Linked DNA regions of Macaca mulatta. The protein of the gene in region 2 interacts with the protein of the main gene of each other region in a biochemical or structural test. Links are inferred from orthologs where the notes say so. Each region holds a gene or a part of one and is shown on either strand. Other genes may lie near its edges.

The links.
Region 1: the proteins of HSP90AA1 (region 2) and PTGES3 form a complex in vitro, tested with the Homo sapiens proteins (10 studies listed by BioGRID). The link is inferred for Macaca mulatta from reciprocal best matches to the Homo sapiens genes HSP90AA1 and PTGES3.

The regions. Positions count from the first base shown.
Region 1 is NC_133416.1:63,859,329-63,866,747, forward strand, and holds the start of PTGES3 (prostaglandin E synthase 3), read right to left. Parts: upstream 4,045-7,419; 5' UTR 3,796-4,044; coding exon 3,794-3,795; intron 1-3,793. UniProt on the Homo sapiens protein: Cytosolic prostaglandin synthase that catalyzes the oxidoreduction of prostaglandin endoperoxide H2 (PGH2) to prostaglandin E2 (PGE2).
Region 2 is NC_133412.1:175,436,078-175,443,163, reverse strand, and holds the start of HSP90AA1 (heat shock protein HSP 90-alpha), read left to right. Parts: upstream 1-2,655; 5' UTR 2,656-2,714; intron 2,715-3,312; coding exon 3,313-3,474; intron 3,475-3,563; coding exon 3,564-3,930; intron 3,931-4,250; coding exon 4,251-4,384; intron 4,385-4,678; coding exon 4,679-4,999; intron 5,000-5,114; coding exon 5,115-5,280; intron 5,281-5,705; coding exon 5,706-5,896; intron 5,897-5,998; coding exon 5,999-6,146; intron 6,147-6,385; coding exon 6,386-6,654; intron 6,655-7,086. UniProt on the Homo sapiens protein: Molecular chaperone that promotes the maturation, structural maintenance and proper regulation of specific target proteins involved for instance in cell cycle control and signal transduction.

The DNA of each region.
Region 1 (7,419 bases), on a different chromosome or scaffold from region 2:
AGGCCACCCACCATCAGAAAGTTATAGAAATTAACAATATAGCATTATGTTCACTCTGACAATTTGTTTTGCAGGCTAAAGATGGACAACTTTATTTCAGGGATTCATTCCTACACAGCTGAGTGAGGGAAAGTAAGATTTTTACTAAAATCAGAGATGCAAGTTTCTGGACAACTTCCTAATTACATACAAGACATTAAACAGGAAAAACAGTAACTTAAAATATCGGTAAAGTAAATAAAACATTTTACTTTTCATCTGTTTTTAATTGGTCCAACGACAATGATTCAAAAAATGCGAAGTAGCACCCTCTGGCAAGGTTAAGCGGAAAATCTTAAGTGGGGGAAGGTCCTAAAATCCCAGCCTTCTCCAAGATAGGTTCGAAATTAAGAGCTTTTATGTAAACTATCAGACAAACTTTTATAACCTAAGATTTAAAGAAATGTAACTACGAAATCGCTAAAGAGCAAATAGGTAAATCAAATGAGAAAACACACTCCCAAGCCCTTAAGGCACCCAGCATAAATATATCTCTTCCCAGAGCTTAAAAAATATTTTTCTTATTAGCCAGGCACGGTGGTGCTTGCCGGCAGTCCCAGCTACTCCGGACACTGAGGCAAGGAGGATCGCTTGAGCCCACGAGGTACCGTTTGCAGTGAGCTGAGATCGCGACACTGCACTCCAGTCTGGGCAACAGACCAATACCCTGTCTCAAAAAAAAAACAAAACAAAACACTACCACACTTTTAAAACAAGTTATCAACGAAATAAGCCCTTACCAGCCAGATTCTTAAGACTGGATGACGACCCATTAAAAGCTTCTTCCACCTCAAATAACTGACTTACAACTTTTATTTTGTAAATTCATTTAAGTCTTTAGCTTGGTAAGAGTCCCTGAAGAATTTACTAAATGGAATATATTGAATATTTTTAAAATAATATTTTAGCTGGTCTCTTCAAAACACTTTTTTTTTTTTGAGACGGAGTCTGGCTGTGTCCCCCAGGCTTACCGCGAGCTTCCCCTCCCGGGTTCACGCCATTCTCCTGCTTCAGCCTCTTGAGTAGCTGGGACTACAGGCGCCCACAACCGCGCCCGGCTAATTTTTTTGTATTTTTAGTAGAGACGGGGTTTCACCGTGGTCTCGATCTCCTGACCTTGTGATCCGCCCGCCTCGGCCTCCCAAAGTGCTGGGATTACAGGCGTGAGCCACCGCGCCCGGCCGCATCACTCGTTTTAAAGGTAGCTTTTTTTTTTTTTTTTTTTGAGACAGTCTCACTGTGTGGCCCAGGCTGGAGTGCAGAGGCGCGATCCCCCCTGCAAGCTCCACCTCTCGGGTTCACGACATTCTCCTGCCTCAGGCTTCCAGCAACTGGGACCACAGGCGCCTGCGACCACGCCTGACTAATTTTTTGTATTTTTAGTAAAGACGGGGTTTCACCGTGTTAGCCAGGATGGTCTTGATCTCACGACCTCGTGATCCGCCCGCATTGGCCTCCCAAAGTGCTGGGATTACAGGCGTGAGCCCCCGCGCCCGGCATGAAGGTACCATTTTTTTTTTTTTAACTAGAGAGGCTGCTTTTTGGAATTGTCTCTCTACTGCTACACTTACTTTTTTTGAGACGGAGTCTCCCTCTATTGCCCAGGCTGGAGTACAGTGGCGCAATCTCGGCTCACTAAAACCTTCGACTCCTGGGTTCAAGCGATTCTCCTGCCTCAGCCTCCCGAATAGCTGGGACTACAGGAGTGCACCACCACGCCCGGCTAGTTTTTGTATTTTTAGTAGAAACGGGGTTTCACCATATTGGCCAAGCTGGTCTCTAACTCCTGACCTCGTGATCCACCTGCCTCAGCCTCCCAAGTATTGGGATTACAGGCGTGAGCCACCGCGCCTGGCCTTACACTTTTCACCCAAGTTTTTAAATTTACTTTCCTAACTTAGCCGTTCCTTACCTATTTAGATATCTCATGTGCCCTCCAGAAAGTGCTTCTACTTCGAGCCCATTTTAAACATTTTTCACGAAAAGATATGTTGTTTGGCTCTATTATTAAAAGCTGCTTAATGCCTTATCTGACAAAAATTTTCCCTTACAGATTTTCAGAGTATGAAAGGTTAAGACTGATGTCCCTTCTACATTACTTATGAGAGATTTCAAAGGGAAAAACAAAAGCTATTTTATATACTTTTTTTTTTGAGACGGAGTTTTACTCTTGTTGTCCAGGCTGGAGTGCAATGGCAAGATCTCGGCTCACCACAACCTCTGCCTCCCTGTTTCAAACGATTCTCCTACCTCAGCCTCCCGAGTAGCTGGGATTACAGGCATGTGCCACCACGCCCGGCTAATATTTGTATTTTTGTAGCGACGGGGTTTCTCCATGTTGGTCAGGCTGGTCTCGAACTCCCGACCTCAGGTGATCCGCCCACCTCGGCCTCTTAAAGTGCTGGGATTACAGGTGTGAGCCACCGCGCCCAGCCTGATTCAAACTTTTAAAAACCCCGATTACGTATCACTCTCGGGGAGGGGGCTCCCTCAAAAATTCTAACATGCTGTGCTCTAGAAGCTTGTTTCCAGTGATAAACTTCGCTTCAGTGTATCCCTCACTCATTCCTTTAGATTTCTAGCCGTCAGTATCATGACTTTGAATCAAGCAAACCCTTCTTACTTTTCCACAAAGTCACTCCCTCTCATCTCTTCTGAATGGAATATTTTTTAAAAAAAGGTTCCCCCTTAATTGCTCTCCATACCTTTTAGGACGCAGTTAGTACCTTAAAAAATAACCTCCCGTCAAAAAAAAACCAAAAACTAAAACAAAACCCTGTAAAACCGGCAGTTCCCACTGTACGTGGCAGTGCCAAGAATTCTTACTCGGTTAAAATCGCCGAGGTTTCCTTTATCATCATAAAATGAAGACTACCATAGAATCTCAACACAAATTTAAACTCTTTAGGACAACAGTAGGTTAATTACACGCCTATTACATACATATTTCACCCCACAGTTACAGGATAGTGAAACCTCACCTCAGGTTTAACATGGAACACAGAAAATGTCCGTGTCTTTCCAAAGCAGACACGTGCAGAACTACCTGCTCAACGGTAACTCCTCCTCGCTGCCAGGGAAGCGGCTGAGTTTTGGCAACCTCCCGTGTTTTCAAGAGACTGGAGTTACGAGGCGGACTTCAAGTACCCACACTCAAGAAACCCAGACACTGGAGAGAGAAGTATGTTGCGGCGTGGGCATGGCTTCACTCTAGTTGCCTAGCAGTACCTGCCGCTCACGGCTAGGCCCGCGTGGGGCTCTCCCAGGAGCTCCGCCAGGCAACTGGCGGCACCCACCACAGGTGCACTCGACTCAGGGCCTGGCCCGGGGACCACAAAGCAGCAGAACCGGAGCGCCCAAGCAGCCGAGGCGACCCACGAGGGTTCACGCTTCACGGCGCCGCATGGCGAGCAGCTCCGGGGAGCTTAAGGCCTAAGGTGAAGTTACCTAAGGAAGCCAGTAGCCCAGACAGCCAAAGAGGGAAAAAGTAGGATTTCCGGTATAGGGAAGCCAAGGGACGTTTCAGGGGTGGGGGAAGCAGACATCTGGAGGAAAAATGTCCTCCACCCGCCAACGGTAACCGGAACAAGGATCCTGGACCTCCCGCCCCCAGGCAGGAACGACTGCCACCACCGATGCGAGAAAGGCTATGGGGCCAAAAGCAGAGGGAGGGCAAGGGCCGCTTCCAGGGAGCCCCCAACGCGGCCTCGGCCTCACTCTGGGCGACCTTCCCTCGGCGGGGTGTCGCACTCACATTGTGAACGGGGCAGGGGGACGGGCGAACGGGTGGGCGGGCCTCTCTGGCGGTGGCTGCTGCTAGGGAGTCGACTTCTCTCCAGTGGCGACTCCGCGTTTTCTCCCCGGTCGCGGCCTCTTCTCGCTTCCCTCAGGCGACGGCGGCAGCGGCGGGCTCGACCTCGGTCCCCAGAATGCACCGCGCGGAAAGAGCGGCTCCTCCGGTCGGGGAGAAGAGGAAAGTGTAGGAAAACGGGCGCGAGGACGGAGAATGAACGTGCGTGCGTGCAAACGAGGGGTGGTGAGGCCGGGCGGCGGCTGGTGACGCAGCAAAATGCCCGGGCCTTACCGCCGCGCGTGCGCAGTCCTTGTTTTCGGGGTCCGGCGCGGCTTTCTAGAGATATCTACGGAAAGGGCGGGGCTTCCCAGCTCCTTCGCGATCCTTCCTGGCGTCGGCCCCGCCCTTCGTCCGCCACCCCACCCCCACCCCGCCCCCTGCTAGTCGCTACGCGTTCCCGCCTCTCCTCCCTCGCTGTCCTCTCGCGTTAGAAAACCGTTGGTGTCCCAACTGCCCGGCCATGCGCCTTGGGCGATTTCTCTGAGAAACGGCTGCGTTGGCAGTGGGAGGCAAGGCCGAGGCGGAGGGACACGGAGTCAGGATCCTATAGAACTAAAATGGAGCGTTGGTTACTCTTGAGGGAGTAAATCAGTTCACTGAGGAATCATTCCACCACAAAAACCTGTGAAAAGGCTGTGCTGTGGAAAAGGGCTCACTTCAGAATCAAGGGCCTGGGTCTACCTCGCCATTTTTCTGAAGGTTGGAGGCTCTGTCTAGGGACAGCGGAAATTGGAGGTTCTTGGCGGAGGAGGAGCATTTGCCATTTGGGGCGGGCTTTTGCCCCTACCTTGAGACCTCAGTGCTGTAGATGAGACAGGAAGGATATTTGGTGGGAGAGTCTTAGGTTTCTGGGAATGGAGAGGCTAGGACATTGGGTGTCTCCACGCACATCATTTGGGGGAGAACGGGTTCCCCGTCGCTTCGTGCAACACACTAATAGGGTGTATTAGGGGATAGTAACCAAGAGACCCAAAACAGTCCTGCTTACCAAGAGGCCACTTAACGGTGGAGTATGGGAAAAATACTCTAGTGCACTGCATTATGAACAGGAAGGAGGTTTAACGAAAGTGCTATAAAACGTTTCTGAAGAACGGGGCTTCATAATAAGCAATAAGGTATTTAGTGTCTATGTTGTGCACGACAGGTAGTGGGAGCTACGAAAACTGGACCCTAGCTCAAATGCCATTTTGGACCGGGCGCCCATAGCTCACGCCTGTAATCCCAGTACTTTGGGAAGCTTGAGGTGGGCGGATCACCTGAGGTCAGGAGTTTCACCTGCCCAACATGGTGAAACCCCATCTCTACTGAAATTACTAATTAGCAGGGCGTGGTGGCACGCGCCTGTAATGCCAAATACTAGGGAGTATGAGGCGGGAGGATAGCTCGAACCCAGGAGGTGGACGTTGCAGGGAGCACTCTAACCTGGGCGACAGAGTGAGACCCTGTCTCAAAAAAAAAAAAAAAAAAAAAAAAAGGGAAGTTGGCCTGGCGCGGTGGCTCACGCCTGTAATCCCAGCACCTTGGGAGGCCGAGGCAGGCGGATCACGAGGTCAGGAGTTTGAGATCAGACTGGCCAACGTGGTGAAACCCCATCTCTACTAAAAATACAAAAATTAGGGCCGGGCGCGGTGGCTCAAGCCTGTAATCCCAGCACTTTGGGAGGCCGAGATGGGCGCATCACGAGGTCAGGAAATCAAGACCGTCGTGGCTAACACAGTGAAACCCCGTCTCTACTAAAAATACAAAAAATTAGCCGGGCGAGGTGGCGGGCGCCTGTAGTCCCAGCTACTCGGGAGGCTGAGGCAGGAGAATGGCGGGAACCCGGGAGGCGGAGCTTGCAGTGAGCCGAGATCGATCGAGCCACTGCACTCCAGCCTGGGCGGCAGAGCGAGACTCCGCCTCAAAAAAAAAAAAAAAAAAAAAAATTAGCCGGGTGTGGTGGTGGGTGCTGGTAATCCCAGCTACTCGGGAGGTTGAGGCAGGAGAATTGCTTGAACCCGGGAGGCAGAGATTGCAGTGAGCTGATCGCGCCACTGCACTCCAGCCTGGAAACAGAGCAAGACTCTGTATGGGGGGAAAAAATTAAGAGGGCGTGGTGGTGGGCGTTTGTAATCCCAGCTACTCCAGAGGCTGAGGCAGGAGAATCGCTTGAACCCAGGAGGCGGGGGGTGCAGTGAGCTAAGAGTCTTCCATTGCACTCCAGCCTGGGCGACAGAGGGAGACTTCGTCTCAAAAAAATAAATAAATAAAAATTAGGCCGGGCGCCGTGGCTCAGGCCTGTAATCCCAACACTTTGGGACACTAAGGCAGGTGGATCACAAGGTCAAGAGAGAGGGGACCATCCTGACCAACATAGTGAAACCCCGTATCTACTAAAAATACAAAAATTAGCTGGGTGTGCTTGGTGTGCCTATTAGTCCCAGCTACTCTGGAGGGTGAGGCAGGAGAATCGCTTGAACAGGGGAGGCAGAGGTTGTCGTGAGCCAAGATCGCGCCACTGCACTCCAGCCTGGGCAACAGAGCGAGACTCCGTCTCTAAATAGATAAATAAAGTGAAAACTGTAACTCTTACATCAGACGAAAACTGACAGGGGGGCCGGATTTGGTGTGCAGGCTGTAGTTTGCCAATCTCTAGCCTAAGTAGTCCAGAGTGTAAGGGAGTAAATTCAAGATATGTTCAAGAAGGTAGGTCATGGCCGGGCACGGTGGCTCATGCCTGTAATCCAGCACTTTGAGAGGCCGATGCAGGCAGATCACTTGAGGCCAGGAGTTTGAAACCAGCCTGTCCAAGATGGTGAAACCGCATCTCTACTAAAAATACAAAAATTAGCTGGGCATGGTGCGCCTATAATCCCAGCTACTCAGGAGTCTTAGGTGGGAGAATCTCATGAACCCAGGAGACGCAGGTTGCAGCGAGTCTAGATTGTACCGCTGTACTCCAGCCTGGGTAACAGAGTGAGACTCTGTGTCAAAAAAAAAAAAAAAAGGTAGGTCACAACGAAATAATGGTGGCACTGAATGTCAGGCTTTTTTTTTTTTTCCCGAGACGGAGTCTCACCCTGTTGCCTAGGCTGGAGTGCAGTGGCGCAACCTTGGCTTACTACAACCACCGCCTCCCGGGTTCAAGTGATTCTCCTGCCTCAGACTCCTGAGTAGCTGGGATTATAGGCGCTCCCCATCATGCCTAGCTAATTTTTGTATTTTTAGTGAAGATGGGATTTCACCAGATTGTGCAGGCTGGTCTCGAACTCCTGACCTCAGGTTATCTAGCCACCTTGGCCTCCCAAAGTGCTGGGATTACAGGCATGAGCCACCGCGCCCAGCCAGTCCACACAACTTTTAAAAAAAATTTCCTGACAGCAATAACGTCATGGTCCACACAGCTTAATAAGTGTTTTGGCTCACTGCAACCTCCGCCTCCTGTGTTCAAGCGATTCTCCTGCCTCAGCCTCCAGAGTAGCTGGGACTATGGGCACACCACCATGCCCGGCTAATTTTTGCATTTTTAGTAGAGGCACGGTTTCACT
Region 2 (7,086 bases):
GTCACCCGGAGACAGGACAAAAATGTCCTGTTTATTTTTTATTTATTTATTTATTTATTTTTTGAGACGAGTCTCGCTCTGTCGCCCAGGCTGGAGTGCAGTGGCCGGATCTCAGCTCACTGCAAGCTCCGCCTCCCGGGTTCACGCCATTCTCCTGCCTCAGCCTCCCGAGTAGCTGGGACTACAGGCGTCCGCCACATCGCCCGGCTAGTTTTTTGTATTTTTTTTTTTTGAGACGGAGTCTCGCTCTGTCGCCCAGGCTAGAATGCAGTGGCGCGATCTCGGCTCACTGCAAGCTCCGCCTCCCGGGTTCACGCCATTCTCCTGCCTCAGCCTCCCGAGTAGCTGGGACTACAGGTGCCCACAACCGCGCCCGGCTAATTTTTTGTATTTTTAGTAGAGACGGGGTTTCACCGTGGTCTCGATCTCCTGACCTTGTGATCCGCCCGCCTCGGCCTCCCAAAGTGCTGGGATTACAGGCGTGAGCCACCGCGCCCGCCGTATTTTTTTTTTTTTAGTAGAGACGGGGTTTCACCGTGTTAGCCAGGATGGTCTCGATCTCCTGACCTCGTGATCCACCCGTCTCGGCCTCCCAAAGTGCTGGGATTACAGGCTTGAGCCACCGCGCCCGGCCAATGTCCTGTTTATTAACGGAGGCGGGAGAGCTGGAAAGACAGGAAGTTGTGGAAGGAAGGAGGGACATTAAAGGTGGGGCCTGACGGGAAACAGTGGTTCCCAGTGATGCCCAGACCCAGGGAGGGGCTTTGGGGCAGGTTCACTGGAGAAACGGGGAAAAATGAAGGTCCCAAAAACAAAAGACAGACTGTCAGAGCTAGGGCCCGGGATGGCTCTTCTATAAGAAATCTCAAACCCCATTGGCAATGGCAGAAACTGCGGTAGGAAAAGTTCCAAGTGAGGAGAGTGGGGACAGTGGCTGGTGGTGACAGGAAGGAAACAGGCGGAGGAGGCACTCGCCAGGGAAGACCTTGCGCCCCTTCAGCGACCTGCTCACCGCCACGCCTGCTTCCGGATTCCTCCCCGCCGGTCCCGGCTGCAGTGTAGGGAAGGCCTGGGCCGGGGGCGCCCCCCAAGGCTGCGGAACAGCTATCACGGGAGCCGGCACACACCCAGTAACCACCGCTGGGGCCCGCGCCACGTGGCTGCTAGTTTCCATCCACCCCGCTTTGTAATGCTGGGCAAGACGCTTTATGTTGATTTCACACACTCTTAAAGGGTCCCAGGCCGCAGTCTGAAAACCCCTGCTCCTGAGTAAGTTGGTTTCCCTAGAGACCAGGAAGCGGAGGTAGTTCCGTCGTTTGTTTACACGGTAAGGAGCTTCCAGATTATTCCGAGGACCTGGCTATGAGTTTAGGCAGGAGGAGGCCCAATCATGGGAGGCGCCAGAGAGGAAGAGGACATGGACGAGGCATGGGAGCCAAGTCTAAGGAACCCCAACACCTCTAAGGTTCTCATAGCTGGCCTTGACCAAAATATCTGAAAATTCTCATGTAGAAACTGGTTCTTCCAGCCTGAGCAACATGGTGAAACCCCAACTATACAAATAAATACAAAAACTAGCCGGGTGTGGTGTCCGCGCTTGTGGTCCTCCGCCCGCGCTCGTCCCAGTTACTCGGAAAGCTGAAGTAGGAGGATCACCTGAGCCCGGGAGGTCGAAGCTGCGGTGAGCCAAGATTGTGCCACAGCACCCCAGCCTGGGCGACAGAGGGACAGCCTGTCCAAAAACAAAAAAACACCAAACCTGTCTTTTAGGGAAGGTTAATCACCAAAATGTCAAGTGTTAGATACTTAATTTGGAGACCTCAAATCGATCGGCAAAACGATGGGCTTTTAAAAAGCATGCCGGGTGTAGCTGGGTAAGCATGAATTTATTCACCAAGGGCCCGATTCCCAAGCTAAGGGACCCTGAAGTGTGAAGGACATGGCTTCCGGGGAACCCAAAGGTAGGGAGCGCTCCTGAGCCAGCAGTGGGTCTGGAGACTCCCCGAGCGCGCAGGCCGCGGGACGGCGTCCCCTGCGCGCAGCAGCTAGAAGCCAACAGCCCAAAGGCCCCCAGGGAGCAGAGCCCCGCGATCCCGGCGCCGCCTGCGGCTGGATTTTTTGGCAGCGGGCGCGCCGTCCGTGAGGATGACGGCTCCGGTAGTCTCCCGGGCGTGCGAGACCCGGGGCGCTCCCCGTCCACGCACGGCCCTCCCTCCAGGCGCGCCTCCCGCCCCAGCCCCGCATTCTGCGCAGCCCGGGTGACCAAACTACACCTCACTTCAAAGGCCCCCACGCCCGGGCGTGCCCTCCGCCCGCGCTCGGCAGGTGGGAGTGCAGGGAGGAGGGCGCGGGCGGCCCCAGAAGGCGCCCGGACCTTCCCGAGAATTCCAGGCCGCGCAGGCGCATTGAGGTCGGCGCGGGGGCGTGCGAGAGGCGCGGGGCGGTGATTGAGGGAAGGTTTCCCGGGCTGGGCCATGAGCAGGGCCTGCGCGCGCCAGCGGGAGGGGCGGGCCACGGCGAGGGCGCAGGCGCAGGCGCGCGGCCGCGGCGGCGGTTGGGGAGGGTTCTTCCGGAAGGTTCGGGAGGCTTCTGGAAAAAGCGCCGCGCGCTGGGCGGGCCCGTCGCTATATAAGGCAGGCGCGGGGGCGGCGCGTCAGTTGCTTCAGCGTCTTGGTGCTGCTGTGCCGTGGAACGTTTGCAGCCTTTTAGCCAAGGTGTGAGGGGCGGTTGTGGGGGCCTGTGGAGGTGGATTGGGGAGTGGGGGCGGTTGGCGCGGAGCGGAGGCTGTGGGGGCCGAACGGGAGCCCTGAACCCGCCAGGGCCGCTCTCCCGGGAGGCCGCGCTGCCTATTCCGGAGGCCGTGGGCCCGCTGCTGTCTCCGCAGCCCGCCTCAGGAATGGGCTGGGCGGCTGCTCCCCGAGTCTCCGCGGCAGCCCCGGAGCTGGCGCCGCACGCGAGCAGAGCGGCCCTTTGGCTGGGGGCCCCCCGGGCGGCCCAGCTGGGGCGCAGGCGGAGGAGGCCGCCCTGGCGGAGCCGCGGCCCGCGCGGGAGGGCACACGGGGTGTCGGTTGGGGACCGCGGCGCGGGACTGGGCCGGGCCTGCAGTGGCCTCCCGGAAGCGCGCACACGCTCGTGGTAGTTACCGCGCTCCGAAATGAGGTCATCCTTTGTCAGCCGCCCTTCTATTTTCGGTTTACTTAAACTTCGCAAATCTGCAATCCGGCTTTAAAAATATTGGGAGGACGCGATGGAATCTCGTGTTGCCCCTGTAGACGCCCTGCAGGGTTTTAAACCGGCGCGGTGTCGTTCCAGATGCCTGAGGAAACGCAGACCCAGGACCAACCGATGGAGGAGGAGGAGGTTGAGACGTTCGCCTTTCAGGCAGAAATTGCCCAGTTGATGTCATTGATTATCAATACTTTTTATTCGAACAAAGAGATCTTTCTAAGAGAGCTAATTTCAAATTCATCAGATGTAAGTCGTTTATTAACCCAGAATAGGATTTTGGTTTCAATATGAACTTCTTGGGGGCTGTATGCTTAATTAATATTTTGTGTTAATAGGCATTGGACAAAATCCGCTATGAGAGCTTGACGGATCCCAGTAAATTAGACTCTGGGAAAGAGCTGCATATTAACCTGATACCAAATAAACAAGATCGAACCCTCACTATTGTGGATACTGGAATTGGGATGACCAAGGCTGACTTGATCAATAACCTTGGTACTATCGCCAAGTCTGGGACCAAAGCGTTCATGGAAGCTTTGCAGGCTGGTGCAGATATCTCCATGATTGGCCAGTTCGGTGTTGGTTTTTATTCTGCTTATTTGGTTGCTGAGAAAGTAACTGTGATCACCAAACATAACGATGATGAGCAGTACGCCTGGGAGTCCTCAGCAGGGGGATCATTTACAGTGAGGACAGACACAGGTAGGTACCTGAACACTCACTGGTTAAGTCAGTGGCGGAATGGTGGGGTGTTGCAACCCTTGGACCCCTGGGGATGCGGCGAAGTTCACAGAAAGTGTGTTTACCCAAGGATCAGGAACAAGCTAGAGCTCTGAATTAGTGTGTAATGGCATGACTTGGTGATTACTTCTTTTGGGCAAGGCACTTAGATCTGCTGTGGGAGCCTTTGCATCTGTAGTAAGGGCAAACCTCGCTTCATAGACACGTTATAAGGGTTAAGCATGGCGTTGAGCACTAAATTGAATGTATTATTGAGTCAATTTTCCTTATTTCTCTTGCAGGTGAACCTATGGGTCGTGGAACAAAGGTTATCCTACACCTGAAAGAAGACCAAACTGAGTACTTGGAGGAACGAAGAATAAAGGAGATTGTGAAGAAACATTCTCAGTTTATTGGATATCCCATTACTCTTTTTGTAAGTTTCTACATAATTGCAGAGTGAATTACTGTCTGTAGGTGACTGGGGTGACTGTACTACATCCTTAGTTCCTAGGTCTGTTGAACTAGTTTGAAGCCTGGGGAACCTAAGCTCTACTAACTGTGAAGGTTCCTCGGGTTATTAAGTAGATATATCAAATATTGATGAGAAGCTGCCTGGCTGCTTCTCATCCTCGGTAATTTAGGCTTTGGCCTTAGGTTGAAAGTAGTGGGGCAGCGCTATGACTTAGTTCTAGAGTGCAGCAGTGATGCGATTTCATGTCTTTTGAAGGTGGAGAAGGAACGTGATAAAGAAGTCAGCGATGATGAGGCTGAAGAAAAAGAAGACAAAGAAGAAGAAAAAGAAAAAGAAGAGAAAGAGTCTGAAGACAAACCTGAAATTGAAGATGTTGGTTCTGATGAGGAAGAAGAAGAAAAGAAGGATGGTGACAAGAAGAAGAAAAAGAAGATTAAGGAGAAGTACATCGATCAAGAAGAACTCAACAAAACAAAGCCCATCTGGACCAGAAATCCCGACGATATTACTAATGAGGAGTATGGAGAATTCTACAAGAGCTTGACCAATGACTGGGAAGATCACTTGGCAGTGAAGGTGAGTGAGGGACTGATGGATGCTTCAAGCTTGTCTTTAGATTATCATCCCACCACCCCAAATATCTGCTATAATGCATTGTTCATTGATACTTAGTGTGTTTGTTCTATTACAGCATTTTTCAGTTGAAGGGCAGTTGGAATTCAGAGCCCTTCTATTTGTCCCACGACGTGCTCCTTTTGACCTGTTTGAAAACAGAAAGAAAAAGAACAACATCAAATTGTATGTACGCAGAGTTTTCATCATGGATAACTGTGAGGAGCTAATCCCTGAATATCTGAGTAAGTATAGATAGGAAAAATAATCACTGTCACTGATTAAAGAAATACTTCTGGCTGGGCATGGTGGCTCACACCTGTAATCCTAGCAGTTTGGGAACCCGGGGTGTGCGGATCACTTGAGGTCAGGAGTTCAAGACAAGCCTGGCCAACATGGTGAAACTCCATCTCTCCTGAAATTAGAAAAATTTGCCCGATGTGGTGGCAGGCTGAGGCATGAAAATAGCTTGAAAACCCCCCTGGGAGGCAGAGGTTGCTGTGAGCGGAGATTGCACCACTGCCTTCCAGCCTGGGCAACAGAGTGAGACACTGTCTCAAAAATAATCTCCTATCATCTCCAGGTTCTTGTCTTTGCTTTTGGGGGTTTACATAGTACCAGTTTTGTCCTTGGAATGACTCAGTGCATTTGATTTTTATATTTTTTTCAGACTTCATTAGAGGGGTGGTAGACTCAGAGGATCTCCCTCTAAATATATCCCGTGAGATGTTGCAGCAAAGCAAAATTTTGAAAGTTATCAGGAAGAATTTGGTCAAAAAATGCTTAGAACTCTTTACTGAACTGGCGGAAGATAAAGAGAACTACAAGAAGTTCTATGAGCAGTTCTCTAAAAACATAAAGGTTGGTGTAAATATTTGACCATTGGTAGTTTTCCTGCTGGCCTCTTTTTAGATTTCTTTTTGAATTCAGAGAGTCTTTAGTAAAGAACATACTTTGTTTTAGCTTGGAATACATGAAGACTCACAAAATCGGAAGAAGCTTTCAGAGCTGTTAAGGTACTACACATCTGCCTCTGGCGATGAGATGGTTTCTCTCAAGGATTACTGCACCAGAATGAAGGAAAACCAGAAACATATCTATTATATCACAGGTAGGGGGACGCTATGTTACAGTCATATACGTCGTTCTTATAACCTTGTAGGCTCTGTGGGTGTGTTTTCTACTCAGGTAGCACTGTTATAACTGGCGTTGATCTAGGCAAGATAATTAACATGAACTAGGTCATTATTTGTCTTAGGTTCTGCCTAGGTATCTGGCTAGCAAAAGTTAGAAGTAGATGAAGCCATTCTTACTGTTAAAAGGTCTAAAAGTAACTTTGTAATACCTCAGGTGAGACCAAGGACCAGGTAGCTAACTCAGCCTTTGTGGAACGTCTTCGGAAACATGGCTTAGAAGTGATCTATATGATCGAGCCCATTGATGAGTACTGTGTCCAACAGCTAAAAGAATTTGAGGGGAAGACATTAGTGTCAGTCACCAAAGAGGGCTTGGAACTTCCAGAGGATGAAGAAGAGAAAAAGAAACAGGAAGAGAAAAAAACAAAGTTTGAGAACCTCTGCAAAATCATGAAAGACATACTGGAGAAAAAAGTTGAAAAGGTATGTGAATACAGCATTTCCTGATCATTGATACCTCTAAGGTGTTTTCAAGCTTAGTCATACATGACCCATTTTTCTTTGCTTTCAACTTAAAATAGAAAACTATGTCGTGTATGGTTGGGCGTGGTGGCTCACGCCTGTAATCCCAGCACTTTGGGAGGCTGAGGCAGTGGATCACAAGGTCAGGAGATGGAGACCATCCTGGCTAACACGATGAAACCCCGTCTCTACTAAAAATACAAAAAAATTAACCAGGCGTGGTGGCGGGCGTCTGGAGGCTGAGGCAGGAGAATCTCCTGAACCCGCAAGGCAGAGGTTGCAGTAAGCCAAGATTGCACCACTGCACCTCCAGCCTGGGTGACCAAGCAAGACTATCTCGGGGGAAAAAAAAGGTGGTGTACGTAAAACGAAATTAATTATAATCTGTGCTCT